Arabidopsis thaliana: one gene and its partners. The protein of the gene in region 1 purifies or fractionates together with the protein of each later gene. This does not show direct contact. Each region holds a gene or a part of one and is shown in the gene's direction. Other genes may lie near its edges. The genes, in order: EMB2765, MEE5, ATRPAC42 and AT2G18900.

Region 1 (8,005 bases):
CTCAGAAAAGTTGTAAGAACAAAAATGTATTTGGAGTACCTTCTCACACTCAAGTTTGAGTTTGGGATCAATGTTCAGTCCGAGTGATTCCTTGTAGGCTATGAGCAATTTTTTTGTCTTTTCTTCTCTCACAATCCTCTCTTCAGCGGTCTCAACTGAATCCCCCGGTCGGAGTGTCCTTCCACCACCAAACTTAAACAAGAAAAGTATATATCTCAATCCTCATTACTTGAGACCATAGATGCCAGCAGGAAAATATACACTCCAAAACCATCGAAGTTAAGAGCTGATGGTTATAGCCAACAATCCAAAATGTGGAAAATACAACCAACAAATCATTTTTGATGCATCATATTTCACAGTAGACTAAATGGTATGCGAACTAAATAATAAACCCATGAAACCTTTCTGGCACTCCTACCTCTAATAATCTGGAGTAAGTGGCTCTATATACCCTAACTTAACAACATTGGACATGCAACTTCTTCCCTCTTGGGGGTTTATGAAAAAAACTAATCCAGTTGCATAACACATATCTTTAGATGGGCCAGTCACATACCGTCTTAGAGATGTTGCTAGGTCTTGGGAAAACTCCCCATGTAGAAACTTTGGGTTTATACACATCAGAGTTTCCATCTCCTTCTTGCTCAACCTCCTTTACTTTCTCCGCAAATCTTGTTTTATCACCAACAATAAACTCCACCTCAGGTAAGTCTCCTTCAGGAAGATAGTCAACAACAGGAACAAGTCCCGCTGGAAGCCCCCTCGTGCTCTTCTTATCAGCAAAGCCAAGCCCCATGAAATCAATGCTGGAGACTTTCAATTCTTTCTTCTTAACATCATTATCTTCAACAACCTTATTTGCTAATCTAACGAAACTTTGATCTGTATTACCTGAAACCCATGAGAACAATTCTCCATTAATACAGCTAAAAATCAAGGCTTTACTCCTAAATCTAATCAAAAACCAATCTTTTCAAGGAACAGGCCACGAAAAACACATGAATGATGTACTAAAGACTATTAGAAAAGTGCATTGATCTACAAACTCAAGCAAAGACAGTTACAAGAATTTTGTGCAAAAGATGATTTTTTACTGAACTGGGTTTAGCTTTTGCGACAGCATCAGTTCCAAGTCCTTTCCTTTTCTTATAATCATTGGCTTTTTGCATAGCAGCCTTAACAGAGAGCGGCAATTCCTCGTCGCCGGCATTTTTCTCTGGTTTTTTTTGCTCTGATTTCGATTTCTTATAAGCTTCGGCTTTCTTCAATGCGAGCTTCACCGGATCCACATCGAGCTCAACCTCTGACGAGCGGTCCGGTGAGGACGAGTTGCTCCGAGTTCGGAAAAGTGAGAGTTTCAAGGATTTTGGGTGTTGAGATGGAGAAAAAAAGAAAGCGGGAGTTTCGGTGAGTGGAGAAGAGAGCCAAGAGTGGTTGAAAGAAGCCATGGTTTGGTGGAGAGAAGAGCTGGTTAGCCATTTTTGGAGTGCAATGTTTTCACAGACTTGTGGACTCGTGGATGCAACATCACCACCCATCCATTTCATCATTGGTCTTGGTCACTAGAGCGCATAAACAGTTCGTTTTATTCGGTTTATATTCGGTTTAGATTGATCAATTATGATTCGAATTCGTTTATTTTGGCTCAGTTCAATTTTTTTTTATGCACACTCATATTTAAGTTGTTTTATTTTAAATCAAAATACTAATTTAAAAGAATGTAAAGTTTTATGTTATCCGATTGCATAAATTTGGTTTTAGTTTGGTTTATTTGGTACAAATTACTGTTTAATGTTTTTTAATCATAAGAAATTCAGTTTTGGTTCGATTCGGTTTACTTGGCTTTTGCTCACCATTATTTATTTATATTAATTTTACTCTTAAGATTATTTCTAGTTCCAGTCCAGACTAAAATACTTCTAGCCCAATATCGGCCCAAGTCCAGCTGTAATTAAACTAGCATCACTCGGGTCGGGTCGAGTCGGTCGTAACCGCCTTTTATCTTTGACGTCGTCGATGAAACTCTCACCTCCGCTTAAGCCCTAAAAATCTTACTCTTCTTCACTCTAAATCCCTTCTCTGAACCTCTTCGTTTGCTGTATGTGTTGATTTCACTTCTCTCTGAGCAAGAAGCTTTCGCGTGAGAGAATGACGAAGGTCTATGGAACTGGCACGTACGACTTCAAGCGCCACAGAGTGGCGGAGTATCCATTGGAGTTACCTAGCCATCCTGCTGAGAAGCCTCTAGAGTCAAAGCCTGGATCTAATTTGCCGAGCTCCATCACTTTATCGGAGATTCAGCAAGATAGGTTAACGAAAATCGCTGAGGAGAGCTGGATTAAGACTGGAGGTAAGCTCCCTGAGAAACCGTTCGATCCGGAGGTTGTGAAGGAGATTTATGTGACGGAGCTTAAGGTAACTAGTGGTCGTAAACCTGTTCCACTTCAGCGAGTTATGATTCTGGAAGTGAGTCAGTATTTGGAGAACTATCTATGGCCGAATTTTGATCCTGAGACTGCTACGTTCGAGCATGTTATGTCTATGATTCTTATGATTAACGAGAAGGTAACTAATCTTGCTCTCTTTCGTATTGGACTGTTGGAGCTGTAAACAGTGGAGTTTAACATTGCTACATGCTTTGTAGTTCCGGGAGAATGTGGCAGCTTGGATTTGCTTTCATGATCGGGATGATCTATTCAAAAAGTTTCTACAGAAGGTTCTTCGCCTTAAAGAGGTTTGTATTCTACCTGTTGTTTTAGTTTTTGTGATTCTAGTGTTGTTCCTGTTTGTGATAATTTGGTTTGTACCTGTGATTTATAACATTGTCTTATGCCTGGAATTGACTTCGCTATATATTTGGAGGCATAGTGATAAATCATAATTAGCCATTGCTAAACCAATCGTATATTTATATATCATTTGCTTACCATTGTAGGGAAGAGACTTGACTATTGCTGAGAAGACAAACTATTTGGTCTTCATGATTAATGCTTTCCAGGTTTGTTCCGTTTCTTGCATGTAACTTTTGAATAGGTCGTAAGTATTTAGAATGCTGTTGCGCCTGTTTCAGATCAGAAAATTAATACATGATATAGTAAGCAGTAATTGCAGACAATATAGCTGTGTGCTACTCAGTAAATTGTTTGTTTCACGTGGAAAACCTTATTATTCATGTTTGTACACAAATTATATCCTTGTGCTATTTTGTTTTTCTTCAATATTCTTAACTGTGTGATGTTACAGAGTTTGGAAGACGCAGTGGTTAATGAGATTGTTCTAAGTCTAGCAGGATTACAATCTTGGCACAGCTTGTCTTATGGACGTTTCCAGGTGGGTGTTTCCTTCACATGGATTTTGTTAAGGATGGTGAAAATATTTTGTAGTTGCTCTGATATCGTCATTGATTTTTACAACTGTAGATGGAGCTCTGCCTTCAACCTGATCTAATTAAAAAGTGGAAGAGGTCATCAAAGAAATGGGCAGCTGAGGCAAAGTCAAAGGGAGAGAAATTTGATTTATCCTCATCCCCTGAAGCAAATTTTGTTCGAGGCCTAATAGAAGAATTCGTTGAGGTATATAGCCTGTTTTTATTGGGTTGTAGTGGTCTATGTTCGTCAAATATATCTTTCGCATAGTTACGCATAATTCATAACATTCTGTTCAGGTGCTTGATCATGGGGTTTTTGCGGATGAGGTTGATGATACTGCTGGATCTCAATTGGTCGATGATTCTTCTGTCTTATATTGTGAGAGATTCATGGAATTTCTTATTGACATGCTGAACCAACTTCCAACAAGAAGGTATTAATATTTCCCTCCAGGGCCTCTATGCAAGTTTTTTGTAGACTAAAATATCTAGGGTTTTTTTTTGTTCCTAATAATATCTAGGTCTTAGTCTTGTTACGCTTCCTCATTCTACACTGTCCATTTCTGAGCCATTCATTTACTGGACCTTAATTTTTCCTTTCTCCATCTCTTCATCTTGATTATTACAGATACCTAAGACCTCTTGTGGCGGATATAGCAGTTGTTGCCAAATGTCGACTGAGTGCCCTATACAAACATGAAAAAGGGAAGCTTTTCGCCCAACTAGTTGACTTGTTACAGTTCTACGAAAAGTTTGAGATAAAGGATCATGATGGAACACAATTAACTGATGATGAAGCACTTCAATTTCATTACGATCGTTTTATGGCGTTTCAGCTACTTGCCTTTAAGAAAATACCTAAGGTATTGTCCTGGTAATCATGGTTAATTAATAGATAGGTAGTTTTGTGTACTAGGTATTTTTGTTATGTTACTATTGGATTTTGAAGTCATTGATCTACTCTCTTCCTTATTTTCTAATATTTTTTGGCAAACGCTTCTCTAGATTCTCACATTTGTTTTTATCTGGTTTGCTTCAGTTGCAAGATCTGTCTTTGGCTAACATTGGTTCGATTCACAAGAGTTCTGATCTTCGGAGGAGATTGTCTGTGCTTTCTCTTGAAGATTTAAGGGATGTTGTCTGCTCAAAGGTATATATCTGGAAAGCATATTCTTGTAGGTTCACAAACTCTGCATGGGAATTCAGGATATGATTATGGAATATTGCTGAGGCAATTCTATGATGATCATATCTTTTCTGCCAGTTTCATTATGCTAAGGCTCTTATAGTTGTGAGCTTTCAGTGAATATTATTGGCAAAATGCTTAGCAAAATCAGAATACAAAGTCTAAGTTGACATGCTAAAAGATCTATGGGTTGACACAAATGTAGACGTTATGTATCTACTTGTTTGAATTCCCTTTAGGCCATTACAGTAGTACGCAGAGTAGTGTGAGAAATCAGTGAAGAGATGTATTTGTGCCTGTGGAGAGTAGAAAGGAGATATGTAAACTGTATTTGCCTCTTGCTGTTGCTAATTTTAGTTTTCGTTAAAATATACTTTTGTTGCCTTAGAAGTTCACGTACAACAATTATACACCTTGCCACCTACATTGGTTCTCATTTTCATTTGCTTTTGTGCAGCTCAAACTGGTTTCAAGACATGATCCTTGGGCAGATAGTAAAGATTTTCTGACTGAAGTCGTTGTCTCCTCTTTTGAGAAGCAACAGTCTCAGAAAGAAGCAATAAACGCTCTGCCTTTGTACCCAAATGAGCAAATCATGTGGGACGAAAGTGTTATTCCAAGCATTAATTATTCTGGGGAAGGTTGCCTTGCTCTTCCAAAGCTTAATCTTCAGTTTCTAACACTCCATGATTATCTCCTTAGAAACTTCAACCTCTTCCGTCTAGAATCCACCTATGAGATTCGTGAAGATATACAAGAAGCTGTACCACATCTTCTTGCACATATAAATAACGAGGGAGACACTGCTTTTCGTGGTTGGTCACGAATGGCGGTTCCTATTAATGATTTCAAAATCGCTCAGGTGAAACAGCCTAATATTGGAGAAGAGAAGCCTTCATCTGTGACAGCAGAAGTTACTTTCAGTATCAAGAGTTACAGAACGCAGATAAGATCTGAATGGAATTCCCTTAAAGAGCATGACGTGTTGTTTTTGCTTTGTATACGCCCTTCATTTGAGCCATTAGGTCCTGAGGAAGCTGATAAAGCTACAGTTCCACAGAGGCTCGGGCTTCAGTATGTTCGTGGTTGTGAAATCATCGATATCCGCGATGAGGAGGGTAATCTGATGAATGATTTTACTGGAAGAGTTAAACGGGATGAATGGAAGCCCCCAAAAGGTGAAATGAGGACTGTGACTGTCGCTTTAGATGCTGCACAGTATCATATAGATGTTACAGACATCGCTGAAAAAGGTGCTGAGGATGTGTATGGCACATTTAATGTGCTAATGAGGAGGAAACCAAAAGAGAACAACTTCAAGGCTATTCTGGAATCTATCAGAGATCTTATGAACGAATATTGTATTGTGCCGGAGTGGTTGCATAATGTTTTTCTTGGGTATGGCAACCCTTCTGCTGCACAGTGGCCTAATATGCCAAACCTGTTGGAAATAGTGGACTTCAAAGACACTTTCCTTAATGCAAATCATCTCAGTGAAAGTTTTTCAGATTATGAGGTTAGTACCTATATTCTTTTGTATATGATGTGATCTAGAAGACTAGAACTAGTTCCTTTCCATGTCTCTAATAATTTGTGCATATTAGGTTTCTTTCATCAATGCTGAAGGTGCTGAAGCTCTGGATCCAAGTCCTCCGTTTCGAATCACTCTTCCAAAGACACTAAAAGGAAATGGTGCTATTTCTGGAAACAAGATATCTGAAGTGAATCCAGCAGATAATGTTAATATGGTGGATGCTTCCCCGAAGGAGAAACTTATTGTTGAGGCATATACCCCACCTGACCCAGGGCCTTATCCTCAGGACCAGCCGAAGCAGAACTCAGTTAAATTTACACCTACACAGGTACTACTTATTTCTACATCCTAAGTGCAGTATGCTGATTTGGTTTTTATATAATTGTGCTGTGCTATACTTGTCAACTTTTCGTCATTCTTGCTATTTGTTTTGGAAGATGACAAATTTATTATCTTAGAATCCTTCCTACTTTTACAGAAGAGTTATGTCATACGAGAATACTATTCATCATCTTTATGTCGCCTTATTGTGTTGGGTACCTGACACTTATAACCCATGTAAAATTTTGCACCTGTTATTTCCATCGTAACGTAAATCATTTGGTCATTGATCGATTTGAGTGGTCAATACTGTTCCCACATCATTCTGTTTTATTTGAAGAAAGTTTTACCTAATGTTCAAATCACTTTCTCCCTCATGGTGGTTTGGATGAGAATGAGAAAATATACCAAAACATTTGGTATGGATTCAAAATATGGATCATTGTTGCAAGTTGTAACTAAACCATGTCCATGCCTACTATTTTCCTGCAGGTTGGAGCAATTATCTCTGGTATTCAGCCTGGGCTAACTATGGTGGTTGGTCCACCAGGTACCGGAAAGACTGATACAGCAGTGCAAATTTTGAATGTTCTATACCACAACTGTCCTTCTCAGAGGACATTGATAATCACTCATTCAAATCAGGCTTTGAATGATCTTTTTGAGAAGATAATGGAGGTACTATTGGCATCTTCGTTGCTTTTGTTATTTATATGGAGTCATATTTAATGTTTTATGTTTGACGGAGTTCTGAGAGTCAAATGCTACATGGATCTTTTTTCAGAGGGATGTACCAGCGCGGTATCTACTTCGTTTGGGTCAAGGTGAACAAGAGCTTGCCACTGATCTTGACTTTAGCAGACAAGGCCGTGTCAATGCCATGCTTGTTCGGCGTCTGGAACTCCTCAGTGAGGTTGAGAGACTAGCAAGATCTCTTCAGCTTCCAGAGGATGTAGGATATACTTGTGAAACAGCTGGATATTTCTGGTTGCTTCATGTATACTCGCGTTGGGAGCTGTTTCTCGCAGCTTGTGCAGGAAATGAAGACAATCAATCTTTTGTGCGAGATCGCTTCCCGTTCAAAGATTTCTTCTCAGACACCCCTAAACCTGTTTTTAATGGGGAGTCATTTGAGAAAGACATGAGGGCAGCTAAAGGTTGTTTCTCTCATCTCAAGACTGTGTTCCAAGAGCTAGAAGAGTGTAGGGCCTTTGAACTACTCAAGTCAACTGCTGATAGAGCAAATTATCTGATGACCAAACAAGCAAAGATTGTAGCAATGACGTGTACTCATGCTGCATTAAAGAGGAGAGATTTTCTTCAGTTAGGGTTCAAATATGATAACTTATTGATGGAAGAAAGTGCTCAGATTTTGGAAATTGAGACTTTCATACCAATGCTGCTTCAGAGGCAAGAAGATGGTCATGCACGACTCAAGCGCTGTATATTGATTGGTGATCACCACCAGCTGCCTCCCGTGGTGAAGAATATGGCTTTCCAGAAATATAGTCACATGGATCAGAGTTTGTTTACGAGGTTTGTTCGTCTTGGTATTCCTTATATTGAGCTCAATGCTCAAGGAAGAGCCAGGCCA
Region 2 (7,191 bases), on another chromosome or scaffold:
CTCTTATGCAACGGCCTGTTCCAGTGCCTCCACCTGGTAGCTATCCGGTTCCTAATCAAGAACAGGCTCTTGGGGACGATGATGGTCTTGACTATAACTTTGGGAACTTATCGATAAAGGATAAGAAAGAACAGATTGAGATTACACGGAACAGCCTCGAATTGCTCTCTAGCATGTTGAATACTGAAGGAAAGCCAAATCACACAGAGGTAGTTGCTACGTTGTCTGCTCATCTAACTTTTGTCATTTTCCTTAACAAATGTCTATGGAATATGGATTGAGTTATGAGTATCTCCTGGTTTACATTATTGTTTCCTTGGATATATGTGCTTAAAGTGAAATTGACAGGACAGTGATAAGTAATAGGTTTATATATATTATGGTTACAGGACGATCTAACGGTTAGCCTGATGGAGAAATGCAAGCAATCGCAGCCATTGATTCAAATGATCATAGAGAGTACAACAGACGACGAGGGAGTCCTGTTCGAGGCTCTGCATCTGAATGATGAGCTCCAACAAGTTTTATCTAGTTACAAGAAGCCTGATGAAACCGAAAAGAAAGCCTCCATTGTGGAACAAGAATCATCAGGAAGCAAAGATACTGGTCCGAAACCAACAGAACAAGAAGAACAAGAGCCTGTAAAGAAAACGGGTGCTGATGATGACAAAAAACATTCAGAAGCATCAGGATCCTCCAACAAAACCGTCAAAGAAGAGAAGCAGGCCGTGAAAATAGAACTGGGGCTTTCGAGTGATGAAGATGAAAAATAAGCAGTCTGTGTTTGTTGTCTTCTTCCGACATGGATATCAGAATGTTGCGAAGAGTTGTTCTTGATGGTTTACTTTTAAATTATAACAATGTACTTCCATTATAAGTGTGGAACCTTTTTAGCTTCGTTTCTCACTTTCTGTTTTAAAGTGGTTTCTTAGACATTGTTAAACCGTAGGTGAATCTTCACCCGAAACATTTATACGAGGTGTTTTGGTTTGCACTTAGCCTATTGCTTATGTGTTGAGAGGTGAGTATCTACATCTCCTCTGGATTATATAAATGGCTTGATAAAATTCACCTCACTCTCCGATAAACTCGCTCGAAATGATAAAACGAAGTCTAACCTTTAATGTGTTTAATGTGTTTAGTCTTCTCAAGTCAAATAATAATCGGAGTCTTGGTCTCTTGGACGATGCTACACAGGGATATTTCAAAAGTTTACCCTTATCACCAACTAGAGAACCCAAATTAGGTCTTGTACCGATTGTAGAGTATATGTCTATACGATACTTCTCACTGTCTCTTGGACGATGCTTCACAGTGATATTCCAAAAGTTTACCCCTGTCACCAACAAAGCCAAATAAGGGCTTGTACCGATTGAAGAGTATATGATACTTCCCACTACACTTGAGTAAAGAACTGTCTTCATGTAATCATTATAACCATCTTGTTATGCTTACTATCTTCTTCAAATCGCAGCTTTCAATCTAAAATGAACTCCTAAGTGACATACGACTAATTTTGCTTCATCCATCGCAAAACGCAAACATCTTTTAAAACTTTTACTGAATTTTTTCTGCAGTAAACATAGTGAACCCGGTTTACGTTCTGGTTTAGACGTTTCAATTTTTTCTAAATTGGGCCGATTGACATATAATTGGACCCGACCCATCAACATATCCCACATCGTTACAAATAGATTTCAATTACTATAATTTAATCAATATATACCGACTAAAACTCTCTGTCCGACGTAGAGTCTTCCAATCAAAACCTAAATCTAAATTTTTCATTCCCTTGTTCCGGCGATAACAGTCTCAGTGGCGACAAACCCTATTGCCGAGCCAACTCGCATTTTCCTCTAGCTATCGCAACGCCTCTCGCTCTCTCTCCCCACCGGTTCGTCTTCTCACTCCTTAACTTTGTTCAGCTTGTTGATTCTACCCTAGGTTATTGCTCTACTCCAACGCTTCTGCTCGACTCTCGCCTTGTTGTTTTTCTTTAGTCCAACTTAGCATAAGCTTCTGCTCGATTCTCTCCTAGGGTTTTGCTCTAGTCTAATTACCTTAAGTTTCTGGTTGATTCTAGCTTTTTCATGGTGTTCTCTTGGACTTGGTGTTGAGCATTAGAGGAGATTACTCGCCAATGGGTTAAATAAAATATGTTGCAGAATTGCTATAGTAAATAACCCAGATAGATCTATCAAAAGCTTGATTTTGTGGTAATGCACTCATTTGACTTTTTTGCCGTTATTGTTTATCTGCTACAAAATCCTGATTGCTCATGGGATTCTTTTTTGACAGGTTTACATAAAGATGGAAAGTAGCTTGTATGATGAGTTTGGTAACTATGTTGGACCTGAGATTGAGTCTGACAGAGATAGTGATGATGAAGTAGAAGATGAAGATCTCCAAGATAAGCATCTTGAAGAAAATGGTTCCGATGGCGAACAAGGGCCTGGGGGTTCTAATGGCTGGATTACCACTATCAATGATGTTGAGATGGAGAACCAAATTGTTCTTCCTGAGGATAAGAAGTACTACCCTACTGCTGAGGAGGTTTATGGTGAGGATGTTGAGACCTTGGTTATGGATGAAGATGAGCAGCCTCTTGAGCAACCCATTATCAAACCTGTTAGAGATATTAGATTTGAGGTGGGGGTCAAAGATCAAGCAACGTATGTGTCAACACAGTTTCTTATCGGCCTCATGTCTAATCCTGCGCTTGTGAGGAATGTTGCTCTTGTGGGGCATCTACAGCACGGCAAAACTGTCTTCATGGATATGTTGGTAGAGCAGACGCATCATATGTCTACTTTTAATGCTAAAAACGAGAAGCATATGAAATATACAGACACACGAGTCGATGAGCAGGAGAGAAATATATCAATCAAGGCGGTTCCAATGTCTCTTGTCCTTGAGGACAGTAGATCCAAATCATACCTGTGCAATATCATGGATACCCCTGGACATGTCAATTTCTCTGACGAAATGACTGCTTCTTTAAGACTTGCTGATGGTGCTGTTCTGATTGTTGATGCTGCTGAAGGAGTGATGGTAAGTCTTTACTCTCTCTTTTTTGGTCTGTATTTTTAATTTTTTGAAGTATACTATTTGTACTGACGCTAATAATCTTTTTTCAGGTTAACACAGAGAGAGCTATACGGCATGCAATCCAGGACCATCTCCCTATTGTAGTTGTTATCAATAAGGTACTTCATGCTTCAACGTGTAACTTAAGAGATACTGTGTGAAATTTTATATTTCCATACATTTGCTTGACCTTTGCTTTTTGTCAATTTTTTTCCCCCAACAGGTTGACAGGCTCATAACTGAGCTCAAACTACCTCCAAGGGATGCTTACTACAAGCTGAGGCATACAATTGAAGTCATTAATAACCACATATCTGCTGCTTCAACAACTGCTGGAGACTTACCTCTTATAGACCCTGCAGCTGGAAATGTATGTTTTGCCAGTGGTACAGCCGGATGGTCCTTCACATTACAATCTTTTGCTAAAATGTATGCCAAGCTTCATGGTGTGGCCATGGACGTGGATAAGTTTGCATCTCGACTTTGGGGAGATGTATATTATCACTCTGATACTAGGGTATTCAAGAGAAGTCCTCCAGTAGGTGGTGGAGAAAGAGCATTTGTTCAGTTTATTCTGGAGCCCCTATACAAGATATACAGCCAAGTGATAGGTGAACATAAGAAGAGTGTAGAGACCACCCTTGCAGAATTAGGAGTGACTCTGAGTAATAGTGCATATAAGCTGAACGTCAGACCTCTACTTAGGTTAGCCTGTAGTTCAGTGTTTGGTTCGGCATCAGGGTTCACTGATATGTTGGTAAAGCACATTCCTTCACCCAGAGAGGCTGCAGCTAGGAAGGTCGACCATTCATATACCGGAACCAAAGATTCCCCCATTTATGAATCAATGGTAGAATGTGATCCATCTGGACCTCTCATGGTTAATGTGACAAAGTTGTACCCCAAATCAGATACTAGTGTTTTTGATGTGTTTGGAAGAGTTTATAGTGGTAGGCTTCAAACAGGGCAAAGCGTACGTGTACTAGGAGAAGGGTATTCACCTGAGGATGAGGAGGACATGACTATAAAAGAAGTGACGAAGCTATGGATATATCAAGCTAGGTATAGAATACCAGTAAGCAGTGCCCCTCCCGGTTCCTGGGTTTTAATTGAAGGTGTCGATGCATCCATCATGAAAACTGCGACTCTGTGTAATGCAAGCTATGATGAAGATGTCTACATATTCCGGGCTCTCCAATTTAATACCCTCCCAGTAGTCAAGACTGCAACTGAGCCTTTGAATCCTAGTGAGCTGCCTAAAATGGTGGAAGGGCTTAGGAAAATTAGCAAAAGCTATCCCCTTGCGATTACCAAAGTTGAGGAGTCTGGGGAACATACTATTCTAGGCACAGGTGAGTTGTACTTGGATTCAATCATGAAGGACCTCAGGGAGCTCTATTCAGAGGTCGAAGTAAAGGTATCTAATTGTATCTCTAATTTGGCTCTATGACTGTGATTCCGGTGTGCAAGCAAATTGCTGATTTGGCTGTTTGATAGCTAAGATCCTTTTGCTTTCTTAAATTTGTAGGTTGCAGATCCGGTGGTCTCCTTCTGTGAGACAGTGGTTGAATCTTCGTCGATGAAGTGTTTTGCTGAGACACCAAACAAAAAGAACAAAATAACTATGGTAAGAGATCTTCTTTTTCCACTATTATCTCTTATATATTAGACTGCGATGTTTGGTATGGTGCTCAAGCACAATTACTTTGTGAAAAATCTGATATCTGTTTCATGCTAAAGATTGCAGAGCCATTGGATAGAGGACTTGCAGAGGACATTGAGAATGGCGTTGTAAGCATTGACTGGAACAGAAAACAACTTGGTGACTTCTTCAGGACGAAATATGACTGGGATTTACTTGCTGCACGTTCCATCTGGGCTTTTGGCCCTGACAAACAGGTGAAATGCTTGTATTCTTAAAACACTGCAATCTGGGGTTTACTTTATCTTTATTGTTATGGTTGGTTTATGTCTGTTTTGACAATTTCATTGATTGTTGATTTTCGACTGATCAGGGGCCAAACATATTATTGGATGACACCCTTCCAACTGAGGTGGACAGGAACTTGATGATGGCAGTGAAAGACTCCATTGTTCAAGGGTAATCATCTTTCTTCTGTTACACTTTTCTTTTACTCGATTTTGTTGGCTTTAGCTAAGTGGCTTCGTTTTATTCCTCTTGCAGGTTCCAGTGGGGTGCTCGTGAAGGTCCCCTCTGTGATGAGCCCATCAGAAATGTAAAGTTCAAGATTGTTGATGCACGGATAGCACCAGAGCCATTGCATAGAGGATCTGGTCAGATGATTCCAACAGCAAGACGTGTTGCATATTCAGCTTTTCTAATGGCAACTCCAAGGCTAATGGAACCTGTCTACTATGTGGAGGTACATAATCCCTTTCCATTTTTGCTCGTCACATTTTTTCTCTTAAAATGATAACTAAGAGTTATGGTTTTGTCGCAGATACAAACACCAATCGACTGTGTAACTGCAATCTACACAGTTTTGTCACGTAGACGTGGGCATGTCACATCTGATGTTCCTCAACCCGGTACTCCAGCTTATATCGTGAAGGTTAGTTTTGTTTGTGTCTTTTCTCCTTACTTTGTTCCTGTTATTTGACTAAGTGATGATTCATTGAGTATATTCTTTGGTGTTGATGCAGGCCTTTCTGCCTGTGATAGAGTCCTTTGGGTTTGAGACAGATCTGAGGTACCACACTCAGGGACAAGCCTTTTGCCTATCTGTGTTTGATCACTGGGCCATTGTGCCAGGAGACCCTCTAGACAAAGCCATCCAGTTGCGCCCACTTGAGCCCGCTCCTATTCAGCATCTAGCTCGGGAATTCATGGTCAAGACCCGCCGTAGAAAGGTATTATGATTTCCTTTGTTTCAATGCACATCCCAAAACTTAGTGGGTTTCATGCGGTTAAAGATACGAATGAAACCATAAACTGATTTGTTACTCTAGTGTTTGGTTAAATGACCCCAGTAAACCCTCACAAACCAAAGGATCCCCGAAACTACTGTTTACAAACCCGGCCCTTGCTAATTACTCTTTAACCAAGTAACACCAGCTATAATTTGCTGGATACATCCTAGGCTAGTTATATTGTATGACTCGTTGGGTGTTTGGATCATCAGTTTCAGACTCTCACGATATGTATAATTTGTTGGTTATGCAGGGAATGAGCGAAGACGTCAGCGGAAATAAATTCTTTGATGAAGCGATGATGGTAGAGCTTGCCCAGCAAACAGGCGATCTCCATCTGCAGATGATTTGATGATCTCTGCACTTTTTTCATATAAATCGTGATTCAGGACTAGTAGTAGTATCTTCTCTTCTCTATATATGTGAAAGGAGAACAAGAAAATGTGGATCAGTTTTGTAATTGATGTGTCAAATTTACGTTGTAAGTTGAGAGATTTTAATGAACTCAACAGTCCACATGGTCACACTCACACATGACTCGCAAATAGTTGACAGGAAATGTTCACAAATTTTTGTAAAATTGTAAACTACTATTGGATTATGGGAAACTGAACTAGGTTATGACACTATCATTTATAAGATGATCTCATAGTTTGTTGTCTATATGATTAGTAATTATACATATGATACAGAGAACGTACGATCCAGATCCTATTTCCGCAAAGAGTTTTCTGCATAACTAAGATTTGATTCTTCAAAAATGCTAAATTTAAAGATAAACCAGGTCAATGGCACAAACCTATCTAGATATAAGTAAGTTTTTCTTCATAATTTAATTTAGTGCACACAGACGACTTATTTTACTCCAATGAAAATCGGTTAATTCGTCAAACGTCACTACTTGTCTCAAAGATTTGTTGTGCTTTACTATTTTCGTCTATTTCATGCTTCCATAATCAGCTTTTTACGTTGACGTGCTCTTTACAAATCGAAGTGGACGTGGCGGCAACCACTTATACTTATTATACATAGAATAAAGCTACAAAATATATAGTTAAGGCCCTGGTGGATTAATATATACATCGTTTAAGGTTTTAGATTGGTCTCCTCCACCTTATTTTATGTGCATTGCCAACTCTGAAAACGTCATGCCTTATCTTCATTGGTTATATC
Region 3 (4,759 bases), on another chromosome or scaffold:
TCCTATGATCCTATCTTCTGTTGAATATTTACAGTGAAAAGGGATCGACAGACACACTTGCATCAGTTTCGAAACCATCTTCAGAAGATTGGTTTACTCTGAAGGAGAAATATATTAACGGAAAGGTATGAGATTTAGTTCTTAAAGTTTTCGCATACATAGACCTCAGATTCATGTCACTTGACGCATCATCCAAATGAGCATATTCTTGTGAATAGAAAAGGCTTATGATACTAAAGCTGATAATGTTTATGCCTAGCTAGTACCTGGAGAAAGCACTAGTTGTCAAAGATGAAAGAGAAGCAAATTCTACTGCCTCAAGTAGAATATGGGAAGCGGTTCAAAGCAGGAACATAAGAGACATCTACCGACTCATTGTAAAAGCAGATGCAAATATCATCAATACCAAGTTCGATGATATTACTGACCTTGATGTATATCACCACCACCATGTTGATGCACCAGATGAAGTAAAGAAAAGGCACGATCCAAATGCGTGTCAGAGAATCAAGAATTCGAACGAAGCAAGAAACTGTCTTCAAGGCTGCTCATTGTTGCATGTGGCGTGTCAAAGCGGTGACCCAATCTTGCTTGAACTGCTGTTGCAGTTCGGGGCTGACATAAACATGAGAGATTACCACGGACGAACTCCATTACACCATTGCATCGCATCAGGGAACAACGCATTTGCAAAGGTTTTGCTGAGAAGGTAACACACTAACTAATAAATCTCATGAGGGGCACTTTGAGTAGATACTTAGTGTCTCTCTTCTTTGAATTTGACAGAGGTGCTCGTCCATCAATAGAGGATGGTGGAGGATTAAGTGTGTTGGAAAGGGCAATGGAGATGGGAGCCATAACCGATGAAGAGCTCTTCCTTCTATTAGCAGAGTGTCAGTAAATTACCAATATACCATTTGCTGATTGATTGCTACGCAAAGGAATGTAACTTGTAACTGTTGTAGTATTTGGTCATGACTTGCTCATCGCATTGATGCTCCAATATTTACCTAATTCCCGAAGGAGATAGAACTCTAGGAAATGTCAAGATTCCGACCTACTGTATTAGCCTTTGTAATGTTATACATAAGATGATCTCAAAGATTCTAAGCCTGCACCTCAAAGTTTTTTTTTCTTCTTCTGTATTTGATATCCGAGATACAAATATGTGTTTTGTAGCCGGAAACTTTATTATAGACAACATTCTCATTGCCCAACAAAAATTTGATGAAGTAAGTGTCGTGTTTTCTTCTATTATTTTGCTCTAAATTAAGTAGTGCTATTGCCACATTCTTAGATACTAACGTAGAAGAGTCCCATCGACATTTTTTTTTTGACCAATATTAATTAGAGTTCAAAAAAGCCTATCATTCACAGTAGATGCCAAAAACAAAAGGAGTCATTCCTAGAATTGTTGTTTACATATGTTTTTAGTTTATATTCTTAGCTTAACCAATATGCTGCGAATTGATTGCAGAAAAGTTTTTTTTTTTTTTTTAAATTAAACAATTCACCGAAAAAGAATAAATTCTTATTATTGTTTTTTGCTATAAAACAAAATCATGAGCAAAAGAAAGTATTCATCTTGTGGAATAAATTTTTATTTTTTAAAGTAATGGCTTTATTTTTAGTGTTAAACAGTATTCTTTTGAAATGTAAAAAAAGAAGAAGTATTCTTTTGAAATGAATTTTTTATTGTTTCTTTTGGTAATAATGCGTTTTAATTCGAACCGGAAAGAGTTAAGGGATTAAATAAAACCGGCGGCTTTTTCAAAACCCTTCACCGTTTGTTCTTCATCTCCTCGCCGCCGCCTCCTACTCTCTCTTTCTCTCTAAATTGCTCAATTCTCTCGGCCACAGGTAAGCTTCTTCGACTTCACTCTTTGACCCAATACTACTTTCCTCACCCCCTGTGGTTTCCTTTGTTAAACCCTTCAATTCTCTTTCTCAATTTGATAAACCCTAGTTCTGCTATAGACCTAGACAAGGATGGTGACTAAAGCAGAAAAACAATTCGCCAAAAATTTCAACATAGACGATCTCCCTGACGTCCCTGCCGGACTTCCTCCACATCTCAAAGCCCAGCAAACTCGTGTCGTCTCTAAAAACAACGCTCCTGCTCATGTAAGAACTATTCTCGTTCAAAGTTACAATCTTTTATGCTCTGTTTTGTTGGTTATAAGCTTATCTAATTACAAATTTTATAGCTTTTCTCAATGATCCCATGTGGGTTTGAGTTCTATCGTTGCTGTGTTCATGATACAGAGTAAAAGTTTTGTTTTTTCCTGTGAAAAGCTGTGAATTTACGAGTTTGGCTCTTAAGTGTTTTACCAGAATACACCTTTTGTTTTCAAATTCAAGATGATATTGAGTAGTGATTGTTTGAAATTTGAAGTCTTTAATCTTGTGTTTGTGTTTTCTGTAGACTGCGAGTGCCATTTACTCGGGTACCTATGTTTCTTCTACGGAAGAGGACGACAATGTGAAGCTAGGAAACTTCTATGATAACTTCAAAGTTGATGTGGTTAGTCTCACAAAGACAGATATGGAATTTGATATGATTGGTATTGATGCAGCGTTTGCCAATGCATTCCGAAGGATCCTTATAGCTGAGGTCTGTCAAGTTTTCATACAACCTCTGATGAATCCCTCATTGTTGTAATCTTTGGCTTAAAGTGCTTCTTTCTTTATTGCAGGTTCCTTCAATGGCTATTGAAAAAGTGTTGATAGCGTACAACACATCGGTTATTATAGACGAAGTTCTTGCTCACAGGATGGGTCTTATTCCAATTGCCGCAGATCCAAGACTTTTTGAATATTTATCCGGTAAGCATATATTTCAGTGGTATGTGATCCATCTACATATGATGATAATTCTTCTGATTAGCTTACTTCTTTATCTGTGTATGATAGAACATGATCAGGCGAATGAAAAGAACACCATTGTATTCAAACTCCATGTGAAATGTCCGAAAAATAGACCACGTCTTAAAGGTAATATATGTTCATTAGTTAGCATCAGAAGATTTCTTGTTTTATTATCAGCTCCATCTCTCATGAAAGATATCATTTCGTTTTCTTGTAGTTTTAACGAGTGATTTAAAATGGTTACCAAATGGAAGTGAGCTTCTGAGAGAATCGGAAAATAAAACCTCAAAGCCAAAAACTTACACTTCATTCAGTTGCAGCCAAGATTCATTACCTGAATTTGCTAATAATCCTATCACTCCATGCGACCTCGATATCTTGATAGCAAAACTCGCCCCTGGTCAGGTAGTGTTTCTGTACATTCTTTTTATATACACCCAAGCAGACCATACTTGCAATGAGAGATGAAACATGTGCATCTTCTTTTATCTCTTTTTTCCCAGGAAATCGAGCTCGAAGCTCATGCGGTTAAGGGCATTGGTAAAACACATGCAAAGTGGTCTCCAGTAGGGACTGCTTGGTATAGAATGCATCCTGAGGTGAGAAGTATATACATCAATCTATCATATGCTTTATGGGAAACAGCTCTTTGTTTTGTCTTTCCTCATCCCAATATATATGTTTCGTAATGCTTTTGTTTATACTATCTTAGGTGGTTCTACGTGGGGAAGTTGAGGATGAACTTGCTGAACGACTTGTAAACGTCTGCCCACAGAATGTTTTCGACATTGAAGACATGGGAAAAGGTGAAGTATAAAATCTTATGCAAGCTGATGAACTTGGCTGCATGACTTACTTAAATTTGATTTCATACTGACTTGTGGAAAACAGGTAAGAAAAGGGCAACAGTAGCGCAGCCACGTAAGTGCACATTGTGTAAGGAATGCGTAAGAGACGATGATTTGGTAGACCATGTGGATCTTGGCAGTGTTAAGAACCATTTTATATGTAAGAAGAGAAAAATAAAACCCATTCCTTTTACTCTGCTACTCATGATCTGAAAGATATCGTAATTGAGTTTCTTGTCGTCTTTTTTCTCAGTTAACATTGAGTCCACCGGATCACTGCCTCCAGAGGTTCTCTTCACTGAAGCTGTGAAGATATTGGAAGCTAAATGTGAAGCTATAACCGACTTTTGAGTTCTGGTTTAGTTCAATTTTGAATTGTCTGTCTATCAATGTTTCTCCTCCTATTGATAAATTACCAACAAACAACATTGACATATTTATTTATACGGTTGTTGTTCAATTTGGATTTTCATTAGCCTTCTGAGTTCTGATTCATAACAAAATTCCTAGCTGAACCAATTTTGGAAATCTGCTTCGGTTTAATTTGGTTTTACTATTCTACCACTAGAACACTGACGCCATTCCTTACATTGTGCCAATCAAGGTGTGTGTTGGTAATAGTAGTTTTTGGTTTCATTGAACACTTAAAATAGCGTCAGTGGTAGAATAGATCCCTGCCACATTAGATTATACAAAATGTTCTCATTAAATATGAACTATGAGAGTTTATGTATAAATAACTGAAGAAGTAACATTTAAACAAGTAGCACCAGTGGTCTAGTGGTAGAATAGTACTCTGCCACGGTACAGACCCGGGTTCGATTCCCGGCTGGTGCAATAGAGCTGTGATGAAATCGGTTTCTGTAAAGGTTGGGTCCTTTGCATTTCTCCAGTTTATCTGGTGATATGGCCTCTTAACTGAGCTCTTTCTTTTTCTATTTTTTCTTTACCTTTTTAAGTTTTCTAATTAGAAGACATCAGTACATAAACAGTTGATTATGCTAATAGTAAGACTGATTATGATAAGGGAATATAAACAAAGT
Region 4 (6,450 bases), 8.0 Mb from region 1:
TCTTTCATTTTCTCTCAATTTAACACTTTCAAGATGCCGATCAACAAAGACCCATCAACACCTCCTCCTGTTATCGGAAAAATCGGTCCTTACACTGTCTTTATGACTCCTCCTGCGACTCCTAAACCACCTGAATCTCCCTCCGCTGTGTCTCAGAAGCCTGTGATGGCACCACCGGTTCTTCCTCCGCCGCAGCAGTTTAAATCGGTGGCTTCTTCTGACCAGGACGGCTCAGTTTTGGGGTTCTTTAAAAACGCCGTCACAAAGGTTCAAAATGGTGAGAAATCTGATAAACAATTAACTGATTTTCAGCTCAAAGTTTCCTCATTTTTAGATCTTGAATTTGAGATTGATTTTTCCGATACCCTTTGATTGATTGATTAGGAAATTGAACTCAAAAATGATATAAATCGTTGTAAAGTTTCTATCTTTGTGAAGTGATTGGAAAGTACTAATGTTACATGAATTCTAGCTTTTCATACTGTTTATGTGATTTGGTCCTAAAAGCAATTAGATTGTGAATTTGACATTCATGTTGTGTGTGTGTGTTCTAATCCATTTGACTACAGCACATTCAAGTGTGGATGATCATTTGGTGAGGTGGTTTGGGTTAAACCAATCTAAGTATCAGTGGGCTTTGGATGAGTACTACGAAAGCAAAGAATCAGTAAGTTTTTTTTTGAGTCTCTATATGTTTCCTTTGAGTCTCTATATGTTTAGTTTCTTGTTCTTGCGGGTCCTGTATCGTTCTTTGTACTAGTTTCTATCGATAATCGATTCCTTTAGTCCGATTGATTCATCAGCTTTTTGTTTCATGTACATTTTGCGTAAGCTTAGAAGTAAAGCTAGTTTAAGTGTTTTTTTGCTCTTTGCTTCTAGGCTAATGAACATAACAATATACAACCAATGAAATTGATACAACATATTTGAAGCTTGATATTCACTCAATATCAGTTGTAAAAATTGTTCATTGGTATTTGGTAGTCAAAAATGTCATTGATTGGTTTTAGAGTTACTACTCTCTTTAGTCATTGATTTGCTTATGTTCCTCAAGTAAATCTTGTAGTTAACACATATCTTTTGAATCGAACGCAGGATATGAAGACCGTGAAAGCAAAGGAGATGCCGGGGAAAGTACAGAGTGTATAAGCAACCATGTATAAACTCATTTCCCCTTTGGCCAATTCTAAAATCTGTTTTTCTGAGAGAGTTCAAAAAAGCTTGAGTCTTGAGGAAAGTTCTCTTCAGATGATATTTAATCTTAGAGATTTCTTTTGGTATATTTCAAAACCTATGTAGTAGCTCTTTCTAGTTTCATCTAACAATGGTGAAATCTCCAAAGCAAAATGGAGAGATGTCATTGGTCATTTGGTTTGTTGTAAGTTTAATCACATTATTTACTTTTTAATTGTATCGTTATAATCTATATATTGTCTCAATTCAAAAAAGTTTGCTCAGTGTTTTTCTTTTGATTGTTGTCATACATGAAAACTTTTGCTAGATACCTCTCAAAACTTCAATAATTATCTTCATCAAACCTAACAAGGCCCATTACAAAGGCCCAAAAACATTATTGTTTAATATTTTCCGATTAAATAAATAGATAAAAACTGAAATGTAATTGAGCAGAAAAAAAAACAAAAGAGACGAAGAAGGGTTTAAGTTAGGGCTTTTGAAGTAAACCAATTTTGTGCGTCTCCCTTTTCTTCTTCTCTTCCCAATTTCACCGCCTCTCTCTATCGCCGGAAATTAACCATGAAACGCGGCGGAAGAAGCTACGTAACTTCACCTCCATCATTCTCCAACGACGCTAAAAAGCTTCTCGTCTGCACAGGAAACACTGTCTCTGTTTTCAGCGCCGCCACTGGCTTACAGGTACCAAAAATTTAATTCTTCTTCGATTTTGTTAGGGTTTCTATTCGAATCATTGATTGATACATTTCTGTTTTAGATTACTTCGCTTGAAGGTCATACAGCTCCAGTAACAACTCTAATTGTTGTTCCTGCATCAAGTCCTGCTCAAAAAATCCTTTGTTATTGTTGGACTGCTTCTCTTGATGGTACTATTCGTCATTGGGATTTCTCTGGACCTGAGCTATTGAAAACTATTGATGCTCAGCTTCCGATTTACTCTATGGTGAGTATAAAAAAAGTTTGATACTTTGATTAGGTTTTGTGAGTGTTTTGTTTGATGAAATGAATCTATGTGTTTTGTGTGTTTTAGGTTATACCATCTCTTTTGAGCGAACCTCAACAAATTGATAAACGTCGTGAGTTGTCTGGTAAGTTGGTTGCTTATGTTTCCGTTGAGGATATAAGTGTGGTTAACCAAGGGTCTAAAGAGTTGCGTGGACATATCCGAAGATTTAACCTCGCTAAGTCGCGTATTCCTCGTGGAGATACTTTAAAAGAGGTTAGTTTTTTTAATGGACTTATTTGAAAGAGGTTTGTCTTTAATGTTGTCTTGAAGTTGAATTGTGTAAGCTCAAGTTATTTGCTTATTTCTTTGTGTAGACGGCAGAACCAGAATCTATTGTTATTAGTCCCTCGGGAGAATTTTTCGGAATCCGTCACAAGTGTAAAATTCATATATGGGATGTTCCTTCTGGAGGATCAAGGCATGCGGTTTCAAGGAAGATGACATTACATCACACAAAGGTTATCAATGCTTTTGCTTTTCATCCCACGGAGAGAGTTATAGCTGCTGGAGATGTAACTGGAAGAGTGTTGATTTGGAGAGGATTTGGTAATAGAAAACTTGCCTTGGGTAATCAAAAGAAAAAAGTGAGAGCCATGGTTGATTTGGACAATGCTGGAGTGAGAGGTGAAGATGATGCTGAATCTTGCACTACATGGCACTGGCATTCTGCTGAAGTTAATGTCCTTAATTTCTCTTCCGATGGAGCATATTTGTATTCAGGTGCGGCCGAGTTATATTCTGATATCCATTGGATTTATGAACCGACATAGACTAATAGGTCATGAGCAAATTTACTGTTTGAAAGTAATGTCCTGACTTCTTACTCCATATTGCGTCTGTTTTCTGACTCTTTAGGGGGAAGGGAAGGGGTACTTGTCGTTTGGCAGCTAGACACAGGGAAAAAGAAATTCTTACCAAGGATAGGATCCCCCTTGCTGTATTTCATGTGGTCTCCAGATCCAACTCTTTCTTCTGTAAGTCGGAGCTTACTCTTTCATTCTAATCTAACACACAACTGCTGAAAGCAAAAGGGAATGTTTTACTGATTTGACTACGAATGAGAGCTGCAGGTGGTTTGTGCAGATAATCAGATCCATTTGCTTAAAATGCCTTCCATGGAGATCTTAAGGACCATTTCTGGAATCAAGGTTCGTCTTGGAAACTTAATAATTAAGGACCTGTAATCATTCTCGTCAGTTTTGTCAACGATTCTAGGATTCTAGAAACTCTCGCAACCGCTTTACCTTTTTCTTGGTGTTTACTTCAATGTGTGTTATTTTGTTACAGCCTCCCCCATCATTGCCTAGGATGTATGAAGGCTTGGCTAGTACTGTTGCCTTTGATCGATCTTCTGGCATAGCTGCTTTGTGCACAGAGAATTATTGTGTACAGCTATATAATCTTCTCAATGACCGGGGAATTTCAGAGGTTAGAATTTGGCTCCAATATATCCTTAAGAAACTCTATGCCACTTTCTCCTGTCTATGAAATCTCTAACTTCTTTAATCAATGCTTTTGCAGATTCAAGTTTGTGAGAGAAACCATCAACCAGGAGATGAGATCACAGTAAGTACATTTCCTTGCTGTTTATTTGATAGTATATCTAAGATTATTTTCGTTTGGGTGATAATTTGAGTAAACGGTAATAGGTTGTGGTGACAGCGGTTGCTCTCTCCCTGGATGGCTCAGTGATGAGTACAACCGAGGTGAAACTTCCGGAAGATGGAATAGGAGGCTTAGTGTCCCTCAAGTTTTGGGCGTCTGAACCAGACAGCAAAACTTTCACCTTATCCACAATCGTATATGAACCTCATAGGTTAATATTTCACCCTCTGCTAATGGATAAAGCTTTATTTTTCACCATTACCCAATTTTCTTGTCATGTTTTATTTCTTGTAAACCTTGCAAACATAGATTTCAATTTCTCTTATTTAGTCTACAAACTGTTATATCCTTTGCAGAGAGTAAATTTTATTTTCCTGTATATCTTACAGGGATGCCGGTGTCTCAGCCATTGTGTTCCACCCTACCCGCTCCATGGCAGTGAGTACATCATTCGGTGGTGACTTCAAGGTAGTTCTTAAACTGATTTTACATTTTTCTCTCTGTGTTTTTTGTTTGTTATTATTGTCTTACTGATATCACTTTTGCTGTTTCAGATTTGGGTATGCAACAGTGACAAGAACCAGACGGATAAAGACTCTAGCTGGATATGTCACGCTGTTGGCTCTTATAAGTAATAGCTTCTCTACGCGCTAGGAAATTTCAACATTCACAAATTATTCGCCTTGGCGATCAAATTTATATTCTCTTGCCTTTGAATATTTTCCAGGAAGAAACCAATGACTGCTGCTGCTTTCTCTGGGGATGGCACTGTTATGGCTGTTGCGGCTGAGAATGTTATTACACTGTGGAATCCAGATAAGAACATTCTCTTGTCTGTTCTAGGATCGACACTCACGGTAAAACCTATGAAGTTATCCCTAAAAAAGCTGGAACCTTTTTCCATAAAGACCAATGTTTAAACCTCTCTATATATTATTACAGCCTATCACGAAGCTCTGTTTCGCTGGAAAGTCTGAGTTCCTTGTTGCTGCATCCCATATTCCAAGACCTGAACTATCTGTTTGGAATACATCAAAGTTATCTTTATCATGGTCATATGGGTTACGCATAGAAGGTCAGTATTATAATGCTTCTTTGATTTCCCCATGAAAACTCTTGCTGTGGTTTACTTAGAAAATGCTTGTTCTCGTTCTATAGCTGTCACCTCTGCAGTGGATTCGTCAGCATTTGCAGTCTTGGCTGTGATCCCAAAAACTTTTAAAACAGATGAATCTAAGGAGAACATCTTCCGTGGTAGAGATGGTGCCATTCTTTTGTTTAACGGATCAGATCCCAAGCCGGTATCTATATGGACTGTGATGAAGGTATGACATAAGAAATAGCCCGTTAGTATTTAACCTTGGAGAGACAGGAAAGAATCCAACGAGTTAAACAATGTCTAAATTGCAGGCTAGGGGAGGATCAATCTCATTTTTAGAAGGAGATAAGTCTCAGCTTCGCCTTGCATATGTAAATGGAAGCCATGAATATGTTGTCTTTGATCCCAATAGTGATGAGTCACATGAGCGTAGCGCTGTTGACTACGATGGTCTTGCTGGTCTGGAAGAGACAGGTAGTTAAAACTTAAAACATATTTGAAAGAACCTTTGTTGATTATACCATGTTACTAATCGAAAAAGTCTCAACCTTTTAGGAGACGCCGGGTACACATCCTTATACGGGCAGTTACCTGATTATGACAAGAAGAGAATGGAGGATGTTGAGTCGTTGGGAACACCGTTTGTATCATCAGAAAGACCGTGGGAAACAATATTCAGCGGCTCCACACTAAATTTCCCGCCACTTCAGAAATTATGTGCTGAGTTCTTTGAGTCCCTAATGGAGAAAAGAACGGCCGTTGTGGAATGAGACCTTACACAAAAAGTTTTTTGTAAGGTTTATTATACAGAAGAAGAGCTCATTTTTGCAGCCATCTTTGGTGAGCAAAGTTGTTGAGTTTGTTCAGGAAATTTTGTAGCTCTTTGTTGTGAGATTCGGTCCAGTTTATTTATGTTGTTGCTACTCAAAAAATACAGGATTCTAACCAATTGTGCCATGTTTGACCCAAAAACGAAATGAAATATCACGACCTGCCTTTTTTTTTTTCGTTTCTAAAATACGGCATGCATTTATATATTTTAATGCAAATTGTTCTTGAAATCATAATGAGATTTATTATACTGAGGGTGCTTCGTTTTTAAATTTGAAAAATGTTCATGAAATCGTTATATATCCTTAGTGGAAATAAGCAAAATAATTTGGGGACTTTTTACTTTTGCTAATAGATTCTCAATAATTGTGAAACGAGTCAGGTGCTCCTAACCCACCAAAAGAAATTATTCCAAAATCCAAATATTTCAACTAACACCTTGCATTATTTTATTTGAACTTTGCTTGATAACATTTTGCATTATTAAGTTGGAAAATGGGAATACAAATAGATATTTCATATTTCGTGATTCGAGGTTCATCTATTATATATTTAGCTCTTTTGGTGGTCCAATATGTTGAGCAAATTATTCTTTAAGTACATGAAAAAGGTAATTGCTTTGGGGACACTTACCTTTTTATTTTTATTTCCACATGCATGTAGGACAATAGTTTGCAAGGTTTGTGTTACGTCTTCGAAAAGCTTTCTACTTTTG

What was found.
Region 2: the proteins of EMB2765 (region 1) and MEE5 fractionate together in Arabidopsis thaliana (co-fractionation; one large-scale study listed by BioGRID). This does not show direct contact.
Region 3: the proteins of EMB2765 (region 1) and ATRPAC42 fractionate together in Arabidopsis thaliana (co-fractionation; one large-scale study listed by BioGRID). This does not show direct contact.
Region 4: the proteins of EMB2765 (region 1) and AT2G18900 fractionate together in Arabidopsis thaliana (co-fractionation; one large-scale study listed by BioGRID). This does not show direct contact.

The regions. Positions count from the first base shown.
Region 1 is NC_003071.7:16,204,400-16,212,404, reverse strand, and holds the start of EMB2765 (P-loop containing nucleoside triphosphate hydrolases superfamily protein), read left to right. Parts: upstream 1-1,976; 5' UTR 1,977-2,151; coding exon 2,152-2,568; intron 2,569-2,647; coding exon 2,648-2,737; intron 2,738-2,938; coding exon 2,939-3,001; intron 3,002-3,246; coding exon 3,247-3,333; intron 3,334-3,422; coding exon 3,423-3,575; intron 3,576-3,667; coding exon 3,668-3,804; intron 3,805-3,998; coding exon 3,999-4,233; intron 4,234-4,409; coding exon 4,410-4,520; intron 4,521-5,013; coding exon 5,014-6,072; intron 6,073-6,160; coding exon 6,161-6,418; intron 6,419-6,903; coding exon 6,904-7,089; intron 7,090-7,195; coding exon 7,196-8,005. Other genes in the region: AT2G38780 (cytochrome C oxidase subunit), read right to left, coding at 40-192, 560-894, 1,103-1,553.
Region 2 is NC_003070.9:1,898,214-1,905,404, forward strand, and holds MEE5 (Ribosomal protein S5/Elongation factor G/III/V family protein), read left to right. Parts: upstream 1-1,737; 5' UTR 1,738-1,894; intron 1,895-2,019; exon of another isoform or gene 2,020-2,083; 5' UTR 2,084-2,216; intron 2,217-2,298; 5' UTR 2,299-2,310; coding exon 2,311-3,051; intron 3,052-3,137; coding exon 3,138-3,206; intron 3,207-3,310; coding exon 3,311-4,504; intron 4,505-4,615; coding exon 4,616-4,714; intron 4,715-4,827; coding exon 4,828-4,986; intron 4,987-5,102; coding exon 5,103-5,188; intron 5,189-5,272; coding exon 5,273-5,471; intron 5,472-5,549; coding exon 5,550-5,660; intron 5,661-5,751; coding exon 5,752-5,958; intron 5,959-6,271; coding exon 6,272-6,370; 3' UTR 6,371-6,684; downstream 6,685-7,191. Other genes in the region: AT1G06210 (ENTH/VHS/GAT family protein), read left to right, coding at 1-209, 390-773. UniProt on the Arabidopsis thaliana protein: Splicing factor involved in pre-mRNA splicing and component of the spliceosome. Essential for reproduction. In female gametophyte, is necessary for the egg cell and central cell fate determination and hence reproductive success.
Region 3 is NC_003070.9:22,397,386-22,402,144, reverse strand, and holds ATRPAC42 (DNA-directed RNA polymerase family protein), read left to right. Parts: upstream 1-1,731; 5' UTR 1,732-1,860; exon of another isoform or gene 1,861-1,977; 5' UTR 1,978-1,989; coding exon 1,990-2,124; intron 2,125-2,425; coding exon 2,426-2,614; intron 2,615-2,696; coding exon 2,697-2,826; intron 2,827-2,913; coding exon 2,914-2,994; intron 2,995-3,085; coding exon 3,086-3,273; intron 3,274-3,371; coding exon 3,372-3,467; coding exon of another isoform or gene 3,468-3,557; exon of another isoform or gene 3,558-3,580; coding exon 3,581-3,674; intron 3,675-3,759; coding exon 3,760-3,876; intron 3,877-3,969; coding exon 3,970-4,067; 3' UTR 4,068-4,232; downstream 4,233-4,759. Other genes in the region: AGD2 (ARF-GAP domain 2), read left to right, coding at 35-125, 264-709, 787-901.
Region 4 is NC_003071.7:8,187,715-8,194,164, reverse strand, and holds AT2G18900 (Transducin/WD40 repeat-like superfamily protein), read left to right. Parts: upstream 1-1,628; 5' UTR 1,629-1,755; coding exon 1,756-1,875; intron 1,876-1,951; coding exon 1,952-2,137; intron 2,138-2,224; coding exon 2,225-2,413; intron 2,414-2,514; coding exon 2,515-2,920; intron 2,921-3,055; coding exon 3,056-3,174; intron 3,175-3,270; coding exon 3,271-3,348; intron 3,349-3,487; coding exon 3,488-3,628; intron 3,629-3,721; coding exon 3,722-3,766; intron 3,767-3,849; coding exon 3,850-4,016; intron 4,017-4,194; coding exon 4,195-4,273; intron 4,274-4,359; coding exon 4,360-4,436; intron 4,437-4,532; coding exon 4,533-4,662; intron 4,663-4,747; coding exon 4,748-4,880; intron 4,881-4,963; coding exon 4,964-5,130; intron 5,131-5,215; coding exon 5,216-5,378; intron 5,379-5,459; coding exon 5,460-5,674; 3' UTR 5,675-5,928; downstream 5,929-6,450. Other genes in the region: AT2G18910 (hydroxyproline-rich glycoprotein family protein), read left to right, coding at 34-277, 570-667, 1,096-1,149.